Linked DNA regions of Arabidopsis thaliana. The protein of the gene in region 2 interacts with the protein of the main gene of each other region in a biochemical or structural test. Each region holds a gene or a part of one and is shown on either strand. Other genes may lie near its edges. The genes, in order: AT5G61200 and EIF3C.

Evidence for each region.
Region 1: the proteins of EIF3C (region 2) and AT5G61200 form a complex in vitro, tested with the Arabidopsis thaliana proteins (one study listed by BioGRID).

What each region holds. Positions count from the first base shown.
Region 1 is NC_003076.8:24,617,823-24,621,743, reverse strand, and holds the start of AT5G61200 (myosin heavy chain-like protein), read right to left. Parts: upstream 1,601-3,921; 5' UTR 1,426-1,600; intron 1,359-1,425; exon of another isoform or gene 1,327-1,358; 5' UTR 1,289-1,326; coding exon 1,172-1,288; intron 1,076-1,171; coding exon 1,016-1,075; intron 930-1,015; coding exon 827-929; exon of another isoform or gene 748-826; coding exon 83-747; intron 1-82. Other genes in the region: AT5G61190 (putative endonuclease or glycosyl hydrolase with C2H2-type zinc finger domain-containing protein), read right to left, coding at 1,858-2,080, 2,194-2,612, 2,765-3,091, 3,171-3,390, 3,473-3,771, 3,892-3,921.
Region 2 is NC_003074.8:20,835,618-20,839,538, forward strand, and holds the start of EIF3C (eukaryotic translation initiation factor 3C), read right to left. Parts: upstream 1,659-3,921; 5' UTR 1,448-1,658; intron 1,258-1,447; exon of another isoform or gene 1,235-1,257; 5' UTR 1,204-1,234; coding exon 1,180-1,203; intron 1,092-1,179; coding exon 1-1,091. Other genes in the region: AT3G56160 (Sodium Bile acid symporter family), read right to left, coding at 2,116-2,193, 2,273-2,374, 2,450-2,570, 2,692-2,777, 3,165-3,232, 3,417-3,438, 3,758-3,871. UniProt on the Arabidopsis thaliana protein: Component of the eukaryotic translation initiation factor 3 (eIF-3) complex, which is involved in protein synthesis of a specialized repertoire of mRNAs and, together with other initiation factors, stimulates binding of mRNA and methionyl-tRNAi to the 40S ribosome.

The DNA.
Region 1 (3,921 bases), on a different chromosome or scaffold from region 2:
TGGTTTAACTAGTTAGAATATGTGTGACGCTGCAAAAAGGCACCAAATTTTTGATTCTACTGTTTTGTTTGGTAACTAATACCTTGAGCTGCTTTACAAGATCTTTGTATTGAAGTATCTGTCTTGCCATATCTTCCATTTTGTCTCTCAGTTTCCCATCCTGGAAAACCTCTAATTTCTTGATGATGTCATGGAAACAATCTGGATTTACAGGCGCTTCACTTTCACTTTCCAACCTTCCTCTAAAGCTTTGACGTAAGTCTTTGATATTCCTTTCAGAGGCTACACATCTCTCCATCAGCTCCTTGTTTTGCTTCTCTAAACACTCAGCATTCTCTTCTGCCTCTCGAGAGTTCAACCGTAGCTCCTTGACTATTTCTCTTAACTTATCGTTTTCTTGGATGCTTTCACCTTGAAATTTCTGAGCATCAAAGAGCGCCTGCTCCAACGCTACTATATCAAGTTTTATGCTTTCTATCTCACACTGAGACTCCAATGTTAAGGATGAGACCGACTCCTCCAGCTTCTCAACAGAAAACAAAGAAAACTGTAGCTCAGTTTCTGTGCTCTCCAGTTCTTGCAACAACAATAGCTGCTCAGATTTCGACGAACACAACTCCTCCCTCAAATAGTTAACTTCTTCTTCCAATTTCCCTGATTTAGTTACTCTGACTTCAAGATCGAGTACATGTTCACTCAGGTCGTTCATTTCCTGGCTTCTGAAGTTTACTTGATCCCGCAAATAATCTGAAAGACAAAGAAAGTGTTTTTTAGCTCATATAAAATATATGCCTAGATTTCAGTTTCATGAGAATCTCTCCATTACCAATCTCCTGGTAGCAATTCAACAATTCTTTCTCCAACATCTGAATTCTTCTCTTATCTTCTAAACGAGACTCTGACAACGAATTCGCATTCAGTTCCAACCTCTAGGGTAAAAAAAAAAAAGACAACAAATCTCAGAAAAAGTTTGAACAATCAATTCACTAGTCTAAAACACACAAGAGGAACATACTCTGACAAGTTCAACACTCTGTGACTGAGATTCTCTAAGCATCTCCTTTTCTCTCCGTAGCTACAATTACAATGAAAACATGAGATCATAAAGCCAAAAATATGAACTTCATCAATCTCTGAGACAAAGGATATAGAGAAAGAAAAACAGATTCACCTCCATACATCTTGAACCAATCTGTAAAAGTTCGTCAGCATCAAACGAGTTGTCAACATCGCTTCTTGAACTACTTCCCGAGCTATCTCGCGAGCTACTTCCCCAATTACTCGACATTAAAAAAGACTAACAAATTTACACACAAGAGCTGAAAACTGGACCAAGAATACGAGTCATTAGCGACCAGAGACTATAAGAAAAAGAAAGAAAAACACATTCCGACGAACACAAGCATAGTCGTAGGAAAGCTTTACCTGGCCGGTGAAGAGTAATATTCCGACGACAATACTTGAACTGAATTTTCCAGTTTCCTTTTTATCTGCTTTAATTTAAACAAGAGAAGGAAGATCCGGATGGGTCGGGCCGGGTCGGATAAGTAATCAGGGTGGCCCAGTTGAGCTGTAGTCGTAAAGCAAATAATGCAATTTTTGATGATTACATTACAGACTAAGCCGAAAATTCTGTTGGAAAAACCGGTCGTTATTTCCCAATTTATTGAGAGAACCTATATACTACAATGCCTAAATTCTATTGTTCTTGAATCTTTTTTAAGAGGTAAAGTTTATATATAAGAAACAACAGTAAGAAATAAGCAAAAGCCAATCCAAAATAAAACGTTAATCTGCCATTCAAAAGAAAACATCCATTGTTGACAACTTAAACATGAATTAACAATTCACATTATTTTAATATTTTTTCCCCCAAAGGCGAGTCCAAAAGTTATCAGCTTGGCCCTTAATCTCTTCCCTTTTGGCAGCCTCTCCAGGAAGATCCTTGCGTCCTCCAGACTTGTTTTCGGCTTCCTGTGCTTTTGGTTCGGGTTTATGCTTCTGCTCATCTTCCAAATTCTTGGCCACATTCACGTTTGGTGGCAGTTTTACTCTCTCAGGAATCACATCTAAACATCCTCTGTAACCCAAAATCCAAGCAACCAGTTAGACACACACATATTGATCGAGATTCAAGAGAAAGAGAGAGAGAGAGAGACCATATTATACACTCCCATGAATGTTGGCTCTTACCTCGGTTCATTGGGTATTCTAGACTCTCGATTCTGTTCAGTGAAGACACGGTGCACCAAGTTCTCAGATACGGTGTGTCTCTCCTTCAGTTCCACTTTATCTTCTGGTGCCCCTCGAAACCCAAGATCATCCATCTTTACAAGTGTCTGCTCCTCTGTTGCTTCTTTTTCTTGATCGGTTTCTTCTCGGATTATCCTTGAGTCAATACTGAACTGCTCCAGTGCTTCTCTATGTTTTTCTTGGTTCAATTCCACTTTATCTTCTGGTGCCCCTCGAAACCCATTACCATCCATCTTTACAAGTGTCTGCTCCTTTGTTGCTTCTTTTTCTTGGTCGGTGTCTTCTCGGATTGTCCTTGAGTCAACAATACTGAACTGCTCCAATGCGGAGACATGCTCAAATGCGGAGACAAATGCCTTCTACATCGATATTTTAGTTAAGGTCTAATATATACTTCATCACTTTCGATAGGAATCAAACCTAAGGATATTATTTTTACTAAGATTTGTAATATTCATTACTAAAAGCAGATTCCAAGTTCACGAAAGAAAACCTAAATAGTAAGATTTACCTCTACAAGCTCCTTCGCCATGGTATAATGGTTCTGACTCTTCAGTTGAGAATCAAATGTGGTTTGGTTTTTGCATGATACTTTCTTCGTTTTTTCTCCATAATCTTTAGAAAGCTTGCCTGGTCCAGTAGACATAGTTTCGTTCTTGGCTGATTGTGATTCCAAGTTCTGTCGGTGTTTTTTCCCATATGTGTGACTTGCAAATGCAACCTTGCTGTTGCAGCTGATCTGGCAGACTTGGCACCACACGGGCTGCAAACCCTCTGGTTCCTTCAAAGGATTGGTTGAAACGCTGGACTGAGAACCATTGCTGGCTACAAAGGCGGCCTACATCAAAAATAAGAAGTCAGAAGGGTTTGATATTGATCAAGGATAAAGAGGTAGAACATGAAGTAAGTGTCACTACAGTAGTATGTTTTTGGTTCGGCCAATGAGCTTTGTTATCACAAACAACTGTTGACAAACCCCGGCTATCACAAATCACTACGCAAAGATGACAAAGTTTAGATGCAGCTGGTCTTGCATGGCGTACGGTCACCTCGATTTTCTTCTTCTTTACCTCCCATGAATGCTTAGTTTCTCCTTTGGAAAGGTTTACAGGCTTGACAATGCCATCAAAACATTCACTATGACAAAAGTTGGAGAATACATTTAGATAATTGCATCTTTGACATACTAAGCAAGCAAATCCAAGTTAGCAAAAATTACCTTGCTTCCCTGGGTACTTCAAAATCAGATCTTAGGTCACCAAAGAAAAATTCTCCATTTGGAATCTGTTTGTTAAGAGTCTCCACCCAGTCCTTAGTACTTGGAAGAGGTTCTTTTACACTGCTTTCTAAAGTGCCACAAATCTTTCTCAACTCTTCGTTTTGCTTCTCAAAGAATTTGGTATGCTCTTGAGTGTTTTGAGACTGCGACTGAGGTTCGGCTATTGATTCTATTGGTTGAGCTTTTTCTTGGGCATCTTTCTCTTCAAGCTTACTCGCATTGATGAGTACCTGATGCAACTATATAAGCTTCATTCTTTATATATTTTACCACAGTTAAGACTCTCATATTCAGCATATGTTTTGCTACACTGGAAATTGTAAATTAAAATACCAAATTACCAATATTAAGAAACTGACCTCTGATTGATTCACCATGACAACATGCTT
Region 2 (3,921 bases):
TGCAAACTCTTGAAAAACTCAGTGTCAACCCTCTCCAAGAATGCAACCAAATTTCCCCAGACCCGAATTTTTCCATCATAATCTGTTGGCTTTGAAGTTTCGTTCTCATCAGGCTCAACTGTGTCATCCACAACAATGTTACTGTACTTGACGAGAATGTCCAGTATGGTGAGCATGTTAAGCACGCATTTCTTCCAGACATTGATAGGCATGTGCCCGCTGAGACCTGGATTCACATCAAACTGAGCCGAAATAACGCTAAACAAGATTTCAAGCTTCTGTGCAGGAGTCTTGGCAATCTTTGTCAAGTGCGTAAGCTGATCAACTAGCTCAAATCGAGCAGTGCCCTTTTTTCCACGAGCAGCCACAATTTCCTTGAACTTCTTGTTGACCCAGTCCCAAGTGATCTCTTTAGGATCTTTATTCATTAGCTTCTCCAAAAGCTTATCTTTTTTGCTCAGCATCTTCTCCCAAGTGAGATTATCAGTAGGTTCATCCACATCGGACCCAGGATCTACGGTAGGTCCGTCGATGGAAGAATCATCATCATCTTCAACCTCATCATCATCATCGTCATCATCATCATCATCTTCAGGTTGTTTCTCTTCCTCAACTTCTGGAGCCTCACGATACTTGTTGATATCGTCTTCGTACAACTTATTGTTCTTCTTCAATTTCTGTTTCATTGAGTTCAAAGCCTTGGAGTTACTAGTACTCATCTTCTTCTTGGCTTCCTTATTGGCAAGAGCTTCATTCAAGAAATCCTCCAACATAACAAGCGTCTTGATATACAAGGTAGGAGGCTTCACAGCCTCAGTAATCCTCATAACCTTCTCAAGCTGTTTGTTAACCTTATCAAAGTTTTCTTGAAGGCTGACCCAATCATTGATCTTCATAGCATTCTTCATCTGATCAACAGTGTAGGTCATCTCCTCAAAACGTTTATCCTTAGCAGGCTTAACCACACGTTTCGTATCAGTATCATCATCATCCTCACTACCACTTTGAAGGTAACGGTTATTGACGTCATCATTCTGAACCTCATTAACCTCTACCTCATAATCACTTTCATCTTCACTTTCACTTCCAACCTATCAACATAACAAGTAAAAATCATTCAGAAACTGAAGCAAGTAAAGGTAAAGAGAGTTTATAAACAAGAGGTCTGTTGAAGGAAACCTGAGTGAAAAAACGAGACGTCATCTTTTTAGCTGGAAGCGTAAGCAACAAGAACCTGATACACCAAAAGTAACAAATCTGAATAGTGAATCAGAGGAACGAAATTATAAGTAAAACAAACCAATCCATTCGAAGAACATAATCTGAACGAAACAATCGTGTCACAGATACAGACTCGTATCAACAAAGAATTAGAATCGATTCGAATCAATCTACACCAAACTAGAATCGAAAATTTGTTACGCTAGATGATGAGGAACAAAATTACCTGAATTCAGAAGATGGAGATGGAGATGGAGATTTGCGAAGGAGATGCTTGAGGAGGATTACGAATCTAAACAAAAATGGTGTGTAGCCGTCCAAGCATTTTGGTCGAGATGAAAAAATATATAGAATTAGGGTTTCGTGATTTACTCACTAAACCGGATTCGATTTGATTCTATTTCCATACCGAAACTGAAAACCGAGGACAATTAAAACGCTCTCGATCGGTTTTTATTTTATTTACAAACCGAATTGGTCGAACCAGGACTAAATGAAATTGTAGTGATGGTTAGTTCAATTAAATTGAGAAAAGAACCGGTTCTTAGTCCTCTTTCCTAGCTGCTTATCAGACAGATTACATATGAATTGCTTTGTACGCTGGTAACGTCAAATGACTAAATGTTTTCAAATATAGATACAAGTTTTTTTTTTACATAGTTTCATAAATCATACAAATTGGATCAGCAAACACCGACCGGAATCTCTAGAGCATATACATACAGAAAGAGAGAGAGAGAGAGAGATGGTCAATGATCAACTAAGCTTTGGTGATTGGAAAGATATCAAAATCCCCAGTCTTGCTGCTATGTATATAACTGACATTCAGTGTGTTTAGGATGTAACCTTCTCCACAGCATTGGTTTCATTGCTTTCTATCTCTCTCTCTCTCTCTCAAGCTGTCTTTACTTTAGTCGAAGTATCTTTTCCTCTCCGGAGCCATAAGTTGACAAGAACTGAATCAATCATGATCTGTAACATTCCAGATTTACGTCAATAATTTATAAAATTATGCACACAAGTACATGATGATTATAATACAATTTGTAACCTGGTTCAGGTGTGCAGCTACACAAGGAAGAACCAATAGCCCTGTCTCACCAAATGCACCTCCTAATTGCTCTACTACCGCCACCATTACCGGTAATGTTTTCTATGCCACCACAAGAAAAGAACTCCCAAATTTAAGAGATCAAAATCGGTTCTAAAAGGCAAACTCTATTATTACCTGGCTTGAAACGAGCAAAACTGCAGTGCTGTTTTCCTTGGAGCTCTTGCTACCACCTGTAAGACCGGAGAGGATGCGGATTGAAACAGCATTGAATGCTAGTAGAGAAAGATGCAGCAATCTGTAAGAAGACGTAAGAATCTTCTGTCAAACGTAATCCGCATTTCTAACACACAAGCCAAATATTTCCATGAGCTTCTTCACTTGGTATCTTTTCTATATGTTAAAAGAAGAATGCGTACATTCCAATGCCAACTGCTGCAAGGAAAACCTTAGGTTGAACGGATAGTAGCAGTGATCTTGACCTGCTCACTTGGATCCATGGCACCTAGAATATTAATCATGGAATAAACACTATTAAGTTCCCAAAATAACCAGGTAAATGCAATAACAAAGTCAGACCAGTTGAAGTAGCCAGGGAAGCAGAGGTTAAACTATAAAAAGGAAAAAAGTATTAAGTCCTTCTATCTCCAAAGTCATAACCGTGACTGCAAATATGGTTTTTGCAATTTAGTAAAAGCTTTGGATTGGCACATCAATGCCACGGAATGTTGAAATCCCAAGCTATCATACAAGAAAAGAGAAAGTTTTAAGTACAGGCATCTAAAATGCCAAGTTTAAGATTCCTGCAACAAAGCAAAACTCCAAGGATATGACTTCAGAAAGTTATTCAAGGGGTGTAGAAATTACGGGAGACTAACATTTCATATCTTACCAAACTGAGGCAGATTGCGTTGATTTTCGAAAAGAGTTTACGGTTATTGTCAACAAAGTTTGCGAAACCTGTATCACACATTTCAACAAGAGTTTCAACAAGGTCAGAAAGTAGGCAGCGATAAGCATATATATTTATTATAAACAGAACCATTTTGATCCATTGTCACGATAAAGTGACTGCTAACTATTTAAAATGGTATGTATTCAATTACTTTCACCAGAGAAGTAAAATATAACAAATGGCGCTCACCTTTGAATGATTCTCGAATAACCTATAACAGAAGAAACCAAGTATGTCAAAGCTCGATTTTAAAAACGTGTGCAAAATGGCAAGTGATAGAACTTCATGCTGAAATGACTGTTTGTGAAAGGTTCATATAAACATCAGGGAAAGTAACAAATAATAGAGAGTAAGCTTTCTTCATTTTCAAATGAGCCACGCAACAACCCTATTATAATTTCCAATAAAGTATTCACATATCTTTTGGCAACAACCACCTCTGCAAATTTAGCTTTCACAATTGTACCGTATATCAGAATTTATATTGATTCATCATTGCAAGAACAGGACAAACAGAAAGATTGTCTCACCTTGCCAATGATTAAAGGAATTAACAGAGTAACTATAAGACTTCTGAATAGTTGGTCAGTAGGAAACGAAACCCCTACTCCCCCAGCTATGTATCTTGATACCCAAAATGGAATCTGATTAGAGGTCAAACCACGTTAACTTCAGTGTCAGAAGACGCAATACT